Linked DNA regions of Rattus norvegicus. The protein of the gene in region 5 purifies or fractionates together with the protein of the main gene of each other region. This does not show direct contact. Links are inferred from orthologs where the notes say so. Each region holds a gene or a part of one and is shown on either strand. Other genes may lie near its edges.

Evidence for each region.
Region 1: the proteins of Usp4 (region 5) and Rbbp8 purify together in Homo sapiens (affinity purification with western blotting; 3 studies listed by BioGRID, with this or other methods). This does not show direct contact. The link is inferred for Rattus norvegicus from reciprocal best matches to the Homo sapiens genes USP4 and RBBP8.
Region 2: the proteins of Usp4 (region 5) and Ctnnb1 purify together in Homo sapiens (affinity purification with western blotting; 3 studies listed by BioGRID). This does not show direct contact. The link is inferred for Rattus norvegicus from reciprocal best matches to the Homo sapiens genes USP4 and CTNNB1.
Region 3: the proteins of Usp4 (region 5) and Prpf3 purify together in Homo sapiens (co-immunoprecipitation; 4 studies listed by BioGRID and IntAct, with this or other methods). This does not show direct contact. The link is inferred for Rattus norvegicus from reciprocal best matches to the Homo sapiens genes USP4 and PRPF3.
Region 4: the proteins of Usp4 (region 5) and Edc3 purify together in Homo sapiens (co-immunoprecipitation; 3 studies listed by BioGRID and IntAct, with this or other methods). This does not show direct contact. The link is inferred for Rattus norvegicus from reciprocal best matches to the Homo sapiens genes USP4 and EDC3.

What each region holds. Positions count from the first base shown.
Region 1 is NC_086036.1:3,239,984-3,243,499, reverse strand, and holds part of Rbbp8 (DNA endonuclease RBBP8), read right to left. Parts: intron 2,100-3,516; coding exon 1,987-2,099; intron 964-1,986; coding exon 78-963; intron 1-77. UniProt on the Homo sapiens protein: Endonuclease that cooperates with the MRE11-RAD50-NBN (MRN) complex in DNA-end resection, the first step of double-strand break (DSB) repair through the homologous recombination (HR) pathway.
Region 2 is NC_086026.1:129,534,568-129,538,083, reverse strand, and holds part of Ctnnb1 (catenin beta-1), read right to left. Parts: coding exon 3,401-3,516; intron 3,269-3,400; coding exon 3,015-3,268; intron 2,893-3,014; coding exon 2,654-2,892; intron 2,568-2,653; coding exon 2,366-2,567; intron 1,362-2,365; coding exon 1,217-1,361; intron 1-1,216. UniProt on the Homo sapiens protein: Key downstream component of the canonical Wnt signaling pathway.
Region 3 is NC_086020.1:186,082,421-186,085,936, forward strand, and holds part of Prpf3 (U4/U6 small nuclear ribonucleoprotein Prp3), read right to left. Parts: intron 2,856-3,516; coding exon 2,709-2,855; intron 1,630-2,708; coding exon 1,546-1,629; intron 1,386-1,545; coding exon 1,165-1,385; intron 1-1,164. UniProt on the Homo sapiens protein: Plays a role in pre-mRNA splicing as component of the U4/U6-U5 tri-snRNP complex that is involved in spliceosome assembly, and as component of the precatalytic spliceosome (spliceosome B complex).
Region 4 is NC_086026.1:67,008,529-67,012,044, reverse strand, and holds part of Edc3 (enhancer of mRNA-decapping protein 3), read right to left. Parts: intron 2,613-3,516; coding exon 2,293-2,612; intron 1-2,292. UniProt on the Homo sapiens protein: Binds single-stranded RNA. Involved in the process of mRNA degradation and in the positive regulation of mRNA decapping. May play a role in spermiogenesis and oogenesis.
Region 5 is NC_086026.1:117,913,142-117,917,457, reverse strand, and holds the start of Usp4 (ubiquitin carboxyl-terminal hydrolase 4), read right to left. Parts: upstream 2,804-4,316; 5' UTR 2,780-2,803; coding exon 2,679-2,779; intron 1-2,678.

The DNA.
Region 1 (3,516 bases), on a different chromosome or scaffold from region 5:
TAAATAGAGATAATTATTAGCACCTAAATGAAATCACAAACAGTGTTAATCAAAATGTCTGAACATTTAACACAAACCTTCACATCACCAAAAAGATTCTCTGTCTCCAAACTTTCCTGTGAACGTGGAGGTGTTTTGAAAACAGGATTTTCTTCTTTTATCTGTAATTGAGTGTTATGGTCTGGAGAGAATTTACTAGAGCACTGGAGGGTGCGCTGCTGTAAGCAGTATGTCTCTGCAGAGTCTTGGGCTAGTGTGCAGGCCCCACTCAAGGCCTTGCGGCCTGAGGAGGAGCCCTTGGGAACGGGCTTCAGAGCCTCATAAATAGTCACTTGCTTAAGTTTGTGTTTGCAAGTTTCATCCCCGTGGTTCTTCTCTTGACGCTGATTAGCTGCAAACCGATCTGACAGGTCCAGAGGTTTATCCATCACATGGTCTCCATTCACAGGGAACTGATTCTCCATTGGAAAAGGAAGGGCATTTTCCTTATCAAAACAGGTCTGCGGGCAGTGTACTGCGTGCTCACCCTCTTCCTCAGTCCTCTTCCTTTTGGACGCTTTGCCTCCCAGTGATTTCAAAGGCACCAGGTGTTTATCACTAACAGCATCTTTCATGTGATCAGCACCACCCTGCTCGTCGACAGAGTCACTAACGTTTTTACTTGTAAGAATCTGCTTACTAGGAAATGACTGGCTGATGACCTTTACCTCAGACCCAGCACTTTGTTGTGTGAAAAGGGCATTATCCTCTGATTTGGATCTAACTTTCTCTGATCTAGAAACAGAAATGCTGCTAAAGGGAGCTGTGCTCAGAAGGTTTTTTTTCCCACTGTCTAAGAGTGAAGGGGAGAAACTTGTTTTCAAACCCAAATGAGTTTTCACGGTAGAGGTAGGTCCAAACACGGGAGATGACCCCCGAGTAGTGAGTTCTCGGGGAGGGGCCTTTGAAGCAGAGTCTGAAAACCTAAATAAACAAAGAATATATAAGATTTCTTAAAACTGAAAATGGGGTAAAAATTTAAAAAACAGTACATTAAAACATTTCTTGATACAGAATAGTAAGGTGCTATCCACCCATTAGAGGCAGATGATTAACACAAATGTAAGAAGCAGTGTTGTTTTCTCCTTATTTAGCAGAGCAGATGAAAGTAGAAATGAGCCACTGAGGACTCCAGAGCCCACTGAGGACTCCGAGTCTTTTGCTATTATTAAACTTATGAGAAATCCCAAGAAAAAATTCCTACATCGCAGAACTGAATGTAAACGCTCTCAATAGCTATACGATCTTAGACAAGATATTCAACCCTTGGAGCCACATTTCTGTTGTCCATTTAAATAAAAGAGAAATGGGAATAAAACTTACTTGATGAGTTATTAACAGATGAACCTAAACTAAGCAGGATGTGGGGAGAAAGCATGAGAGAAGGGGCAGGAACAAGACAGCAAAATAAATCCTCTAAGCTTCGATCAATTCATATCCTAAGCATGCCTTATCAACATAAGTACTGTTAGTAAATATTATGATATTTGAGAAAAACGACAAGAAGAAGGCAGCTCACTGGTCAGAAGCACTGACAACTGCTGCAGGGCATCCAGGTTGAGTCCCAGCACCCACACAGTGGCTCACAGACATTTACAACTCCAGCTCGAGAGCTTCTGAGCCATGACCTCCTGGGAATACATGGTACGCACACACACACACACACACACACACACACAGAGGCCCACACACAAATGTTACATAAGCTGGGTCTTTCGCACCATTTAGTGTTTGGAGACACAGTGTAAAGACTTTATTTACTGGGATAAAGCAAAGCTGGGAGGTCTTGACGATGCTTGATGATGCGGGAGGAGAATATGGACAGGGCACCAGCAGCCACTTTGGGGGAGTGCAGTGCTGAGACACTCAGCCTTGTAAGCTTTATGGAGCTACACTAACAAAACAAAACAAAATAAAACAAACAAAAATATCCATGCTCAAAATTACCTTACGTTATCTTCGTTCCTTATTGCAGATTCCATAAAAGGCTGTTTTTTGTGATCTTCTTTGAGACAGTGGTAGAGCTCATTTCCAAGAGGGCTCACAGGACCTTGGGGTTCCTTCAATAGTAAAGCATGCTTAAAGTGGATAAATGCTACAATGCAAATAAATCCCCAAAATATATGAAGTGAAAGGAATCAGAATGAAGAGCTATGTAATCAGACAGAGAATGGAGCTGCACAATATTGTGAGTATATAAATATCACTGTACTGTAGGCTTTAAAGCCACTAATTTTGTTATCTAAATTTTATCACAATAAAAAAATATGAAGAGAAGAAAGTGCTAATGTTTTAATACTTTATATAACTTACTACTGCATAGAAATAGTTCAATACCAAAATACGTTAAAATGAAGGGTAGAAAACACAGGTGAATGTAAAAGGAAACTTTAGAGGAAATTCTTAGGATTGCACACAAGTCACCTGGGAATCGATCATAAAAGCACAAGCTCAATAAATCTGAAATCCTGTGCCTGTGATACATTCAAGAACGGTAAAGACGCTGTTGACCGTGAATCAGACTGTAAGAAGAATCCTTTGATAGCTTCTCCTCTAATAGATTTCATATCTAAACTTGTTAGATCTATGGCTAGTAAGGAACTAGAGACTATAAAACACACACAAATGTTCACAAGCTAAGAATTACCCACTATAACTTCAGGATGAATTTTAAAAGTGTAAAATCAAAATGTAATGAAAAACTAACTCAAGTTTAAGAAACTCAACAGTGAGACAGTTTTCTAAGAGAAAAGCAAAGGAAGACTATTTTAAATCTGTCACTTGTTTGTTTATTTTCGTACTGTCAGTGGTCAAACTTAGGGCCTTACATACATTATGCAAATGCTTGATCACTGAACCAATTTAAATCCCCAGTCCTTAAACTGTATCAAAACAGAACTTAACCTAGCATTTGTGGAGCCTTGGGTTCTAATACTCAGAACTACAAACAGATGAAAACTCTCTAATTTTGCCCTCCGGAAACGACTTAGTGGCTGAGCAGCTCTTGCCGCTCTTGCAGAGGACTGGAGTTTGACTACCAGCACTCATATCAAGCAGCTCCAACTGCTTCTAGCTCCAGCTTCAGGGAGGTCTCAGGACCTCTTCTAGCCTCCACAGGCATCTGACCAGAACATATACAAACCAGCAGGTAGATGTATATCTAAAACAAACAAACAAACAAACAAACAAACAACAGAACAAAACCCCCAAACACCAAGAACCTAAGACTGGGAACTGCAAATGTTTTATGTTGTAAGATTAAGGGGAAAGACAGACATAGGAAAGTATTAAAGTAACTAAAACAATTGGAAAGTCAGTCTCTGACCCAACTTTTAAAGATTATGGTTAGCTGAATTGGTAGGTTCTTAAAATTCAGGTCATTTTTCGAACCAAATGAAAATTTAATGGCTGTCAGAAAATTCAATCTTTTTTTTTTTTTTCTTTTTTTCGGAGCTGGGGACCGAACCCAGGGCCTTG
Region 2 (3,516 bases), about 12 Mb from region 5:
TAGCGGTGCTCTCCGTGTGGTACCAAAACAGCAGTTACTCCCATGCACCAGGGCCCTGCCTAGCTCATTACTGACACCGCTCAAGTTGTATTTGTACCAACATTCTCCTTGCTCTGAGACATGGCCCACACAATGCTCTACACCCAAAGAGCATCTAAACTCCCATGTCTCAAGCAAAAACGAGGTTACTGCTCCTCCCCCCAACCCCTTCCCAGTGCCAGGCAGCACTCCTTGTCTGGGTGGTCTCCTCAGTAGCTGTCATTGTTGTGTGCTGTCCACTCCTGTCATAGCACACATTCCTTTGTTCTATTCTGAGACAAGGCCTTGCTAAATAACCCAGGAAGTCCTAGACCTCTTGACTCTGCCCCTGCCTAAGTGCTAGGGCTCCATGTCTGTGCACTGAGCCCAGCACCTGCCTTCGAGTCTTGTGCTCATCTTCACAAGACTACGTAGGAACAGCTCCCCATCGCTCCACAGATGAATGCATGGTATAGGTCAATTACACCACTTCAAAGATAAACATCCACATCAGAATGACCCGGACATCTTAGAAAGTCCATGCACATCCATCTCCAGCTATCCCAGCTACCTATGAACTTTATCAATCTACAAACATATTTAAACAAGTCTTACAGGCCCCTGGTTTCACTGTTAGCAACGACCTCAGTAACCTGAAGTGTTCCCAACAACCCAAAGATGGCTGCTGCAACCCAGTGCCTCATCTTCAGCGCCTTCCCCCACATAATGCCTTCACCATTTCCCACCTCTACTTGGGATCTAAAGCTTGCTTGGTTCAGCAGCCTAGACAGATGTTAGCTGCTTACTGAAAGGAAGCCAGAGAACTGAAACTACTTTCACCCTAACCAAGAGGCTTGGACATGAACCTTGTTTTTCTTTATCACCAGGCACAACATAAACTGCCATACATAGCTGCCCAATTAAAACGCAGGACAAAAACAGTAGGGAACGGCTCACTGAGAAGAAGACATTCACAACAAATCTCACACAGAACAAGACAGACATAACCACTTCTCTAGTAAGCTGGACTCTATATTCACAGGGTTGCTAGTGAGGCCCAACCTCACATTTACCAAAATCAAAATCAGAAACAAGCTTTATGGAGCGATGTGCTTTTGTCTTTGACAAATAACTGAGCAGTAACGCAGGGAAAGGTGAGTGTGCACTGTGAGCTCTCAGACTGTGTATGTGCACTCACCAGCTTCCACGATGGCCGGCTTGTTGCTAGAGCAGACAGACAGCACCTTCAGCACTCTGCTTGTGGTCCACAGGAGCTTCTCGTACGTGTAGGTTCTCATTATGTTTACTAAGGCTTGGGGTCCACCACTGGCCAGAATGATGAGCTAGAGAGATGGAACTGTCAGTCAGGAGACTCAGGAAATGCTGGAGCGGCCATCACCAGTTCCTGTACTTAAGAACTCTAGCCAGCCTGCAATTCCACGTTCTCTGGAGCCCTCTGATCCACAGCCTCCAAGTAGGGTCCCAAGGATGTGACTCCTGTGCTACATTCTGCTCAAATCCAGGCACCCCCACTCTCTCAAGTATATACCAGCTCAAGCTAGAGATGGCTCTTCCAGAAGACCCAGGTTCAAGTCCCAGGACCTACATGGCAGCTCACAACTGTCTGCAAATCCAGTTCCAGTGGATCTGACACCCTCACACAGACATACATGCAGGCAAACCAGAAATGTGTGGAAAAAAACTATTAAAAAAAAAAAACAAAAACAAAACTCTTGCCACCTCCCCACAGTGAACACAAAGGAAAAAGACCATGAAAAGCAAGTGGGGTTGCCTGTAGTAGTGGTGAAGGTTCTGTCAGAACAGCCAGCTGAAAATGGCACTAAGAGTCTGTAGCTTCCGACCCTGATCTTACATGTGCACACTTATGAGACACTGTAGAGTACCCACTCCTACATCCGTAAGGTCCTTGAACATCTCCACAGGCAGGTCTCATCCCGTGCTTGTGTTTAAGATCACAGAGCCTCACAGGATCCCCAAAGCTCTCAACACACTGTCTCCTAACCTCTCTCCAGCACACTACCCTCTCCCTCCTCAGGACTGTAGATGTCATCCTCTCACCGCCTCCTCCTGGGTAACACCTCACTTCCTCTCAGAGATCTCTACAAGACCCCAAAACACCATTTCCTCTGTACACCCAGCCCCTCTTCTCTGCCCAAGTGTACACACTCACTCAGGAGGCCTCTCCCCATCCCTTCAGTGCTTAGCACGGCACAGAGCTTCAATGTTTACAGACACATTCTCTAGGATGCACACAAAGGATGGGACACACATCTCTGAGCCTGTGTGGTGAGGACTCTGTGGAGAGAGACAACCTTCAGCACTCTACCTTGCTTTCCTGATTGCCGTAAGCTAAGATCTGAAGGCAGTCTGTCGTAATAGCCAAGAACTTCACGTTTGTTTTGTTGAGCAAAGCAACCATTTTCTGCAGCCCACCAGCTAGGCGCACTGCCATTTTAGCTCCTTCCTGATGTAGCAGGAGATTATGCAGCGTGGTGATGGCGTAGAACAGTACGGAATCCACTGGCGACCTGGAAGAAAGGGGAGCACCTTTGTTGGCCACGCCAGCAACCCTCTACTTCCTACAGCGCATTCCCTGACCATGTTCTCTTCTTACCCAAGCATTTTCACCAGCGCTGGGATGCCGCCAGATTTAAAGATGGCCAACAAGCCCTCTCGATGGTGGGAAAGGTTGTGTAGGGTCCCAGCGGTACAACGGGCTGTTTCTACGTCATTTGTATTCTGCATGGTGCGCACTATGGCAGACACCATCTGAGGGGAGCGCATGATGGCGTGTCTGGAAGCTTCCTTTTTGGAAAGCTGGTGAACCATAACAGCAGCTTTATTAACGACCACCTAGAATAAGGGTGGAGAGGCACCATGAGTTTCCAAAACCGGATATGGGGCAGCCAGCCATTGGCATCCCCTTGACAGCTTCCCTCACAGTAAACTGAAAAGCTAGCGGCATCACTGCTCACCTGGTCCTCGTCATTTAGCAGTTTGGTCAGCTCAGGAATTGCACGGGTGGCAAGTTCCGCGTCATCCTGATAGTTAATCAAATTGACAACTGCATGTTTCAGCATCTGTGACGGTTCAGCCAAGCGCTGGACATTAGTGGGATGAGCGGCATCAAACTGCGTGGATGGGATCTGCATGCCCTCATCTAGTGTCTCAGGGAACATGGCAGCTCGGACCCTCTGAGCCCGAGTCATGGCGTACTGACCGTCAATGTCTGGGAAAGGTAAATCCAACACTCACTGGGCATGTGAGACTCCGTTGCCCTCCGCCTTCCCTCCACCCCACCCATGCTGGGCTGAGCCCCACGCAGCCCTGTCAGGGAAGGTAACACAGAGAGTTGCTTTACCAGCTACTTGCTCTTGCGTGAAGGACTGGGAAAAGCCTTGCTCCCACTCATAAAGGACTTGGGAGGTGTCCACATCTTCTTCCTCAGGATTGCCCTTGCCACTCAGGGAAGGAGCT
Region 3 (3,516 bases), on a different chromosome or scaffold from region 5:
AAAGACATGTGCTCTTGCCACCACCTGGTCATTATCTAATCTTGTTTTATTCCCAAATTCTTCTCCTTTTTCAAAATTTATTTTCAGGTCCTCCAGAACCAGACTTAAAGATAGCCAACCTGTGAGTACGGAGAACCAAACCTTGGTCCTCTGGAATAGCAGCAAGTACTCTGAACTACTAGCCACCTTTCCACCAAACCCTCACCTGCCCTTTTTTGTTCTTATTTCACCTGCATTGGTGTTTTGTCTGCATGTAAGTCTGTGTAAGTGCATTGGGTCCTACAGAACTGGAGTCACAAACAATTGTGAGCCACCATGTGGACACTAGGAATTGAACCTGAATCCTTTGGAAGAAGAACCAGTGGTTTAACCATTGAGCCATCTTCTAGGTTATTCCCCTTCACCCCCATCCCTTTTGTGGTGGTTCAAGGGACTGAGAGCCCAAGGCCTCCTGCATACTAGCCAGACGTTCTACTACTGGGATGCATGGGAAACAACTCTATCATTTGCACCCAAGTTCTTAGTCTTGGGATGCTAGACCAATCACAAAGGAGACAGGGTCTTGCTACGAAGTTCTGGCTGGCCTAGGACTTGTTATGTAGACTAGTCTAAATTCGTATTTACCTCACTATTCTTGCTTCTCCCTCCTGAGTTAGAGTTGCAGACATATAGAGTCTCAACCAATATTGTTTAGTGGCTGAAGCTCTTAAGTAATAAGTCCAGAAATCTGATTCTATTCTTACCTCTGTTATTAAGTGAAAACATTATTTTATTTCTACCAGTTATAAGCAGACAACAAAAGCCAAAAATAAATGCAACTGAATTTAGATCATATATTAAAAATATAAAACTGTAAGAAATTATTTAATGTTCTTTGAGAAAATAAGTCATTAACAGGCCGGAGAGGTGGCTTAGCGGTTAAGAGCACTGACTGCTCTTCCAAAGGACCTGAGTTCAATTCCCAGCAACCACATGATGGCTCACAACCATCCATAAAGGGATCCGATGCCCTCTTCTGGTGTGTCTGAAGACAGTTACAGTGTGCTCACATATATAAAATAAATAAATCTTAGAAAAAAAGACAGAAACATGTAAGTAAATTACCTTTAATTAACTACTCCAAAAATGTTAGAAGTGACAAGGGACTGTGTGAAGGATACTCACGGTGGAGCTATGCCCATGGCATGGAGATTAGCTAGGCCCACCATGTTGGCATTGCCAATAAGCCCTGGCTTCAAAGCCAGCTGGGCCTGGATTCGGGCTTGTAGTTCAGCGGCTTTCCTTGCCTTCTCAATGGCATCATTCATAAAGGTAGCGGCCTGGGAGGGCTGAATAGTGTTGCCAATTGGAAGTCGCTCTGGTTGGGAAGAAGAAGGTGTCTTTGGCTATAAGACAGAGATTAAAAGAAATCCAAGAGTTTGAAACAGGCATAACACAGATACACACATAGACACCGTGGCAGATTATGGCAGACAGCTGGAGCACTTGCTGGACCCTCGAGTGGACGAATGACAACAGACTATGTGCTAACCCGTCTTTCAGTACCTGAGGTGCAGGGGGGCTGATGAAGCTCAGCTGCTTTTTCCTTTCCTCGATTTGTCTCGTTGCTGCCTCCATCATCTGTTTGATCTGCTCTCCAGAGGGAAAAGGTTGAAAAGATTAATTTCCCCCATACATGGTCCTAAATGAAAAGGCATTCAGTTCCAGAGACCCAAAATTTTGTGAATGTCTCCACAATAAATATATTATCTATACCACAGACAAGAAGATATACACTTAAGCACCAGAATTTTCTGATCGTTCCCCACCCCCAAGTTAGGACTGGTATATTAGGTAGCATACACTACAGTGACTGAGACTCAGACAGTATAAGGCTAGAACTGCGCCACACTTTCTGCCTGTATTTCTTTGGATAAGGCATTAATACCTTAACTTCTCACAAATCTAAAAGGGGGGAAAGCAGTGCATGCGTGCTTCCTAACAAGCTACTATGTTAAAAGCAGGCAGGGAGACTATAGAAATGGTTCAGAGCTAAAGCACCAACCACTCTTGTACAGGCCCTGAGTTCAGGTCCTAGCATCCACGAGGTGGCTCACAACCATCTCTAACCAGTCCTAGGGTATCTGACACGTAACTCCCACAGGTTCCTGTGTGCACATAAACATTCACAGTATGTTTAAAAATCATGGTTATGAGCCACGCATGACAGCACACGCCTTTAATCTCAGCACTTGGAAAGCAAGAGCAGGCAGATCTCTGTGTCTGAGGCCAGCCTGATCTTATACATTGTGAATCGCAGGCCAGCCAGGGCTAAATAGCAAGACCTTGTCTTTAAAAATGTTAATAATCACATTATCGGACCCTGAATTCCTACTGTAGGTGTGCATGGGCAATGGTGCAGGCTCTTTAGAGATGTCTCCATGAACCCTGGTTATGTCCTAACAAAATCAGAAAGAAGCTCTGAAGTCAAGCTAAGTGCTGTCATTTCATTTTCTTTTTCCGATGATGATGTATCATACCAGGTGCTCAATAAATCCAATTTCAATAATTCTTAGCTGGGTTACTTCTGATCAAACCAAAGACTGCTAAAATATAAAGGAAAAAATAAAACTCCCCCAAGTAGTTAACACAAACTCAAATCACGATCACTGTGGGCCTGAACCCATGTGCTTCAACTCACAAAAATCCCTTTGCTTCTTTTAACTGACCTGGAGCTTCGTTAGCATGCCAGGGCTTTCTGACGGAGGTCCAGGGATCACCTCTGGTTCCTCTTCTACCTCCTCAAAACGGGGTATTCGCCGCTTCTTTACCCCTGATGATTCCTTTGAGATCTCAGAGTCATCACCAAACACCTCCTAAAGGAACCCAAAATGAAAGAATTGTATCCCTCCCTAGGGGAAAAAGGAAGAACCATCCCAACCCCTACCAGCATCCTGTGGTTTCCCCAGGGAAATACGACAATCTTTCAAAAACTACTTGCAAGAAGCAGGGTCTTCTAGATATTCCACCAAGTGGACCATTCACCCAACTTCATCATTCTCCTTCCTGATTCAAGCAAATTTCATTCCCATGTTCTGATAAATGTTCCCATGTCAAGATCTTTACCAGTGCTACTGCCTATGTTTGTAATGCTCTTCTTCCTTTCCCACAAATCCTGTCTAAAACTCACCTCCTCCAGGAAGTTCTCCTCATTATCTATCTCACCCCACTCTGATCCAACTGTTCTTTCACACCGTCTCAGCACTCCGAGCTCGGCTCATGTTAGATCACATTATACTCTGACACTGTTTGCCAAGTGTTAGGTATTACTTTCTCCCAAGTAAAAGCTAAGTTCTTCCAGAAAAGAGATTTGTTCTTTTTTAGTATTCCCCAATAACATTTTCTTCTTATCATACAATGGGAACTCAAATATGTTGACTAATTTGCAAAATGAATTTAATAGGACCAAGAGTGGCCAACTGGAAGGGACAATGGGAAAAAGCAAATGTACACACCGGTGGTAGGCTTTGGGTGACA
Region 4 (3,516 bases), about 51 Mb from region 5:
GTGCTCTAACCTGCTGAGCCATTGCTTCAGCCCAAAGTTGGAATTTCTAAAACTTAAATGTCAGGCTTGACACAAATGTCACATCACAAGTTGGAACTGAAGAGCACACCAAAATCTTATGACGGTCACTGGGACAATAACAAGGAGCCAAAAGGACAGTAAGTGGCATCTGGAACCTTTTGTAATCAACTCTCCCACTCCTATGTGGGCTCTAGAAAACAGCTCATTCTAAATTCTGCCTTTTAGTAGGAAATGCCTTGGCTTTATTTTAGTATGACTCTAGTTTGAGTTTTACATGTATCAACGAAAACACACTTAAAATTCCTAATATATTTGCTACTACTTCTAGGTATAAAATGTAAGAAAAGTAAGAATAGTGTGCTGGATAGTAAACCTGACACAGGCTGGAGTCACCTGAGAGAAGGGAACCTCAATTGGGGAAATGCCTCCATGGGATCTGGCTGTGGACAAGCCTATAGCCCATTTTCTTAAGTTAATAATTGATTGGGGGGGTGGGAATGGGAATCAGCCCATTGTGGGTCGTGTCATCCCCTGGGCTGGTGGTCCAGGGCTGTATGGGAGGACAGGCTGAGCAAGCCATGAGGAGCAAGCCAGTTAGCAGCATTCCTCTGTGGCTCCTGCATCCGCTCCTGCCTCCCTGTTTAAGTTCCTGTCCTGACTTCCTTAATTATGAGCTATCATGTAGATGTGTACACTGAATAAACCCTTTCCTCTCAGTTGCTTTGGTCATGGTGTTACATTGTAACAACAGTAACCCTAAGATAGTTTACTATTTAGAAGTACTTTTCTTTTAAACTTTTTTTAAAAAGAATTATTTATTTATTTTATGTATATGAGTACACTGTTGCTCTTTTCAGACACTAGAAGGGAGCATCAGATCCCTTTACAGATGGTTTTGAGCCACCATGTGGTTGCTGGGAACTGAACTCAGACCTCAAAAAAAGCAGTCAGTGCTCTTAACTGCTGAGCCACCTCTCCAGACCCTTTTTTTTTTTTTTTTTTTTTGGTTCTTTTTTTCGGAGCTGGGGACCGAACCCAGGGCCTTGCGCTTCCTAGGCAAGCACTCTACCACTGAACTAAATCCTCAACCCCTCCAAACCCATTTTTAAATATTTATTTTTATTTATATGTATGTGTCTGTGTGTCTATAAATATATACAGGTATCCAAAAGACAGAAGAGAACCTTCGGAGCTCGAGTTACAGGCAGTTATGTGCTGAGAATTGAATTTAGGTCCTCTGTAAAAACAGCCAAACTGCTCTTAACTACTGAGCTTTCTCTCCAGTCCTAGAAGTAATTTTTAAAATTGTCCTATTTTATTACTTTATATGTTTTGCCTACATATACATATATTAGCACATGTTTGCTTAGTGCCTTTGGAAATCAGGACACAGTATCAGATTCTCCTGGGATTAGAGTTACAGAGTTGTAAACTTCCCATTTGCATGCTGGGAATTAAAATGGGGTCTTCTACAAAAACAAGTGCTCTTAACCAACAGGCTGATTATCCAGCCTTCCTAGAAGTAATTTTAAAAAGACCATTCATATGTATTTAAGGAACATAACAGATGTGAACAAATCTGTTATATCTCAAAATTACATTACTCTAGTACACGTTTAAAAACATTACAGGTTTTAGTGACCCATCTATGGTTCTATATCTGTTACTAGCAAGCAAGACCAGAGAGTAATATATACCAGTAAGTGCTTTCCTTAATCGCCTTTAGTGGGGACATAAAAAAAATAAAAGTAAAATACTCAATTAAGGCTAGGGTTAAGTGTTTGGTGGCCGAATGCTTGCCAGATATGCAAAGCTCTGGGTTCAGTCCACAGTACCTCAACAAACAAAGCAAACAAACAAACAAACCAATCAGCTTGTTAGAAATGAAAGGTAACAGCAATGCCTACACTAGCCCCTCCTCTCTAAGTAAAAGTCTACTCAAGAAATTAGCTGGAATACCCCAAGTAGAGTCAATCAGGTATCACAACCCCAACAGTTATGAGATTTAAAACATGAATATGGTGCAGATCCAAGACCTTTCCTGAAGGGAGAAAAGTGACAAAGTGGGCAAGAAGCTTGGGTGAACCTCTAATAAGTCATTTCCTTTTCCTTGGTATCTTGAGGGACTGGCCCTAGAATGGCAGAAACACACTGTATCTCCATGAAACCCTTTGTATGAGGAATCACGGACTCATGGAAGGAGCAACAGTAGGTAAGTGTTTACAGCCTGAAACACCAGGTTACAAAAGACAGCACCTTGACTGTACTTACAGGAGTTGTGCCGACGACGGAAGCTCTTGGACTGACTCAAAGACTCCATGTGCCTGTCCACATAACTCTTTGAGCACTGCTGCTGCTGAGGAGAAATGGCAACGTCCTGGCTCTTCATATCTGTCCTCTTAGGGATGCTCTGAGGGGCACTACTGGAAGAGGCTGGCTTCTTGACCACCTTGCCTGTTCCATTCTGATTGATACTCATTTGGTACCCAACACCAGAAGGGCCTAATTCTGTCTGATGAAGGTCTCCAAACTGCTGGTTGTCTCCAGGACCTGGTATCTCCAAGATTTTTAATTCTGTAATATCACCTGCCCTGAAACACACAAAAGTCCAAGTCTCAAAATTATAGTAGCAATAGGAAAGTGGTAGAGATGAAACTGGGGTTAAGGAAGAAACTGCACTCTGCAAAACTGCAGTAACTCAGGGTTAACAGAAGTGAAATTAAGAAAGGTAGCAGGACATCTACAGACCATGCCCAGCCACCAACTTGCAACTCATACACTACTTTAGAGACCCAGTTGTTAAGAACAGCTCTATAGCCTCCTTAGATTTCCAGAATGCTAGTAGCTTTCTTAAATTCTTTCACCCATTTGCTTTTCAACATACAATGCCCTTACTATGTGGTGAGCCCTGGTTATGAGCAAGCTACACAGAGACACAGTACTTCCTTTAAGGGACTCAGTCTGCGCACTGGAAAAGACACATGCAGAGGACGCTAGGGTGAAAGACATCTCACCCAGAGAGTCAGAGACTAAGAAAATCTGGCACTGTCCACAGGAAGAACTGCAAATGTTCTCTACGGTAGTACATAAGGAGAAATGCTTGTGGAAGGCTATCGGGAAGGTAAGGTGATAATCATAAGCACAATAGACTTTTCCATGGCAACAGGAAAGAGGAAGGAACCAACAGGGCATTGCAGCTCTTGCCCAGAATCCTACATTTAGGAGACAAAGGCAGGATCGCCACCTCCAATCATCACCATTTGAAGGCAGCATGGTTTACATAGAGTTACAAGGCAGCCAGGATGATACAGTCGCTCTTCCACCTGTTTTTGGCTTTTCTGTGCTGGACAGCTCCTGATGGGGATTTTCTTTGAAACTCTAAGAGTACTCTCTAGATCATCATATTTGGGAAAAAGTTTATTATGATTCTTTTTTTTTCTTTTCTTTTCTTTTTTTCGGAGCTGGGGATCGAACCCAGGGCCTTGTGCTTGCTAG
Region 5 (4,316 bases):
GAGAGGGCCTAATCTAGGCCAGGTATTCACTAGGAGAAATGACTGGTAAGAGAATAAGTAAAGGAAGCTTTTGGGTGCCCATATCTGTGATTCCAGCATTTGGGAGGTCTGGGCAAAGAGGTCAGTCTCCACTGCACGATGAGTTTGAGGTCAGCTTGGGCTACAAGAGACCATATCTGTAAAAGACAAAACAAAGCTACACATGCTGACACATGCCTTTAGATCCCAGCACTTAGGAGGCATAGACACTTGGATCTCTAAGAGTTCCAGTCCAGCTTGGTCTACACAGGGAATTCCAGACCACCCAAGGTTACCTAATAAGACCCTGTCTGAAAAAAATAAACAAGGGACTGGAAAGAGAATTCAGAAGTTAAGAGAGGGGCTGGAGAGATGGCTCAGTGGTTAAGAACTCCGACCGCTCTTCCAGAGGTCCTGAGTTCAATTCCCGGCAACCACATGGTGGCTCACAACCATCTGTAATGGGATCTGATGCCCTCTTCTGGGGTGTCTGAAGGTAGCTACAGTGTACTTATATGAATAACATAATAAATCTTAAAAAAAAGAGAGAGAGAGAGAGAGAGAGAAGTTGAGAGTTTGGCGCTCTTCCCAGCACCCATGAATGGTATGCACAACTCTATTCTGCACAGGTACATGAATGTCATGAATGTCATACATATACTCAGACAGACAGACAGACAGACACACACACACCATAAAGCTGGCTGTGCCGTCACTTATCTGTAATCCAAGTACACAAGAAGCAGATGCAGAAGGGTCTGCAAGTTTAAGGCCAGCCTGGCATACATTTCTAGTTCCAAACCAGCAGGGGCTCACAGGGAGACCTTGTCTCGGAAACAAACAAACAAACAAAACACCAAGCAAACAAAAACATAAACGATTTCTAAAAGAATTTTAAAATTTAATTACATTTGGGAGGGGGGGGTCACAGTATGTAGCCCAGGATAGCCTTGAACTCAAAGAGATCCACCTGTGTATGCCTCCCAGATGCTGGGATTAAAGTTGTGTGACACTATGCATAGTTAGGATTTTATTTACTTTGGTTTTTCAAGACATGGTTTCTCTGACTGTCCTGGACTAACTCAGTAGACCGGGCTGACCTCAAACTCGGAGATCTACCTGCCTCTGCCTCCCAAGCGCTGGGACTAAAAATGTGCGCCACCACTCCTGGGCTAGGATTTTATTTTTAACTATGCACTTTATTAGTTATGCACATAAGTATGAGTATAAATGCAAGTGCCCTTAGAGGTCGGGGCGTGGATATCCCTGGAGCTTGAGTTATACATGACTGAGAGATACCCAACATGAGCGCTGGGCCTCAAACTCACATTCCGCAAGCCCATTATAAGTTCTTAACTGCTGAGCAGTCTCTCCAGCCCATGAGCACTCATGTAAAATGGACGCTTTCTAGAAGTAAAATGTTTACTAAGTTATTAATTGCATTGCCCAAACCTTGGCAGCAATACCTCTCTCCAGGCCTTAAGACTACAGGTACGCTCATCCATACCAAGCTGAGTATTCTTTATGTGTCATCCCTTTGCAGAATAATTTCTAAAGTAGCTCTCTCAATTTGTCTGGCCTTTCATTGGCTCAATTTAAACAGCATAAAACTATACCTAAACCACACCCCCCAAACACATAATTTCTATTCTCCTTTCCAGTCCCTATATTGGTAATATTCTTTTTTTTTTTTTTTTTTTTTTTTGAGCTGGGAACCAAACCCAGGGCCTTGCGCTTGCTAGGCAAACGCTCTACCACTGAGCTAAATCCCCAACCCCATATTGGTAATATTCAATGGGAAACCTACGCTAGTATTTGACTCCTACACAGTAGCACCACCCAGCCATTTCTCCACTACTGAGGAGTACTATCCCTTCTAGTTAACAATCTACTGAGACGCCTCATATTTGAATCTGCTCAAATAAACCTGGAATATTTTTTTTTTGGAGGACTCATGCTCACTGTATAAGAGACCAGCCCTGAAACTACAGCAACCTTCCAGTCTGCGCCTGCAAAACAACAGTAAAGCATATGCCACCACGCCTGGCAAAATCTTGCAACTTCCGATCTTCTATTTTGCTCCCCTCCCCTCCCACTCTTAGATCTAACTACTGCTACAATTGTTCCTGACCAGCTGACAATCTGAGTTCTTAGACATTTATTCAGTGTCTGGCCTTGAATTCTGTTCCGCAGTTTACAAGTTACAAAGTATCTGCTTCTGATAGTCTCTCAACCTCCTGAGCGTCATAAGCCACAAATTGCTACCCAGTTTTAATTCTTAAGGAGCCGAGGTCTAGAAGATGTGGACGCTTCCCCCACCAAGGTCAGCATCAAGTCTTCGATGGTTAAGTGCTTTCCCACCTTCCTGCTCCCGCCGACCGGAGCACTCCCCCATTTCTATATTCTACACCCCTTATCCCCTCCGGCCCAAGACTCTTGTGAATACGAATGGACCAAGACAAACCCCAGATCTGTCAACGCTGTACCCTAGCTGATCTCGGGGTTTCTTTCATCAGCGGCTGCTGTCAAGCCACTCTTTCAGAGACTCCAGGCACCGCCCCCGGCCCGCCTCTACCTAAAACTAAGGAAAGGGGTCCGGCCTGAGGGCCAGCGAGCCGGCCTGACGCTCTGCGCGGTGGGAGGGCAGAGCGGACGCTCACCACTGAGCCCCACGCTGGAGCGTGGTCCCCATCAAGGCTCCGAGCTCCGTCTTCTGGGTCTCCACATCCGGTCGCTCATGGGTGCCCCGGCCTTCCGCCATCTCGTCCGCCGCCCGGGCCCAGCCGGCCCGGACATCCGCCTAGCGCACGGCGTGCTAAGGACCGCGCCCACGCACGCACGTAACCACGCACGTGCGCGCGCCCGGCACCGTCGGCTTCCGCCTCTCCTCCCCGCCCCCACGCGCTGTGCCCTGGAGCAGAAGCGGACGGAAGAGGCTGGACACCCAGAGGCGTTGGCCCCACCATCCTGGTCTGCGGGGTTATCCTGATGCTATACCGGTGCAGGAGAAGACTGCTGCTTGCTTTTCTTGTTTCCACTCCGCTCCATTCTGCTTTCAGCTTGACTGCCTAAATGTGAGATTGAATTTACTGCCTCGACAGCCCCTGTAGCCAGGTGCGGTGCACACAGACACATTGGAATCTGGACTGTCCGGTGTGGTCCAGCCATTAACAATTGTCTGAACAAGGTCCAGCGAGATGGTTCCGTGGGTGACAACTGGGTCTGATGCCCAGAACCCATGTAAAGGTGCCAGAAGAAAACTGACTCCTTAAACTTGTCCTTTGTTCCCGACATACCCAATAGTGAAATCTGTTGTTTGAGACAGAGTCTTCTAGCTGGCTGTCCTGGAGCTGCTTACGTAAACTAGGCTGGTCTCGAACTTAGATCCGTCTGCCCTTTTTTCTCCAGAGTGCTGGGATTTAAGGCATACAACACCACACCTGCAAAAAATAAAAATAAACAGTCATAAATAGACTCAAAAAACAAAGTTTGTCTTAAACAACTGAATCCTGTTAGCCTTCCAGGTCAAAGCGAGAGAGGCAACCACCAAAGTCGACTGTGATAGGAATGAGGTCCAGGCATTTTTTTTTTCCCTTGGAACAATGATTGCGTGTTCTGCCGGGCGGTGACGACGCACGCTTTTAATCCAGCACTCAGGAAGCAGAGGTAGGCAGATCTCTGAATTCGAGGCCAGCCTGGTCTACAGAGAGAATTCTAGGACAACCAAGGCTACACTTCCCTTGAAAAAAAAAGAAAGAGACTCTCAAGCAGGTTTAAAGCACGGTTCTTCTGAAGGGAAAAATCCATCTATGGAGGTGCCCAGGCAACTGGTGTGTTTTTACTTTTCAGGCAAATCCTGTTCGTAACAGTCAGGCAAGTAAAACAGCTTCTTTTTTTTTTTTTTCTTTTTGGAGCTGGGGACCGAACCCAGGGCCTTGTGCTTGCTAGGCAAGCGCTCTACCACTGAGCTAAATCCCCAACCCCGAGTAAGACAGCTTCTTGCAGGATACCCAAGCATGTGCAAACCCTTGGTTTCTAGCTGCCCTTCAAAAAACTAAAAACAAACGAGCAAAACCCCAATTTCCACACCTTCCTACCGTGTATTATAGTACAGATCTTTTTTTTTTCCGGAGCTGAGGACCGAACCCAGGGCCTTGCGCTTGCTAGGCAAGCGCTCTACCACTGAGCTAAATCCTCAACCCCAGTACAGATCTTTTTTAAAGATACATTTATTTTATGTGTGTGTGTGTGTGTGTGTGTGTGTGTGTGTGTGTGTGTATGCCCTGCATAAAGTGTAT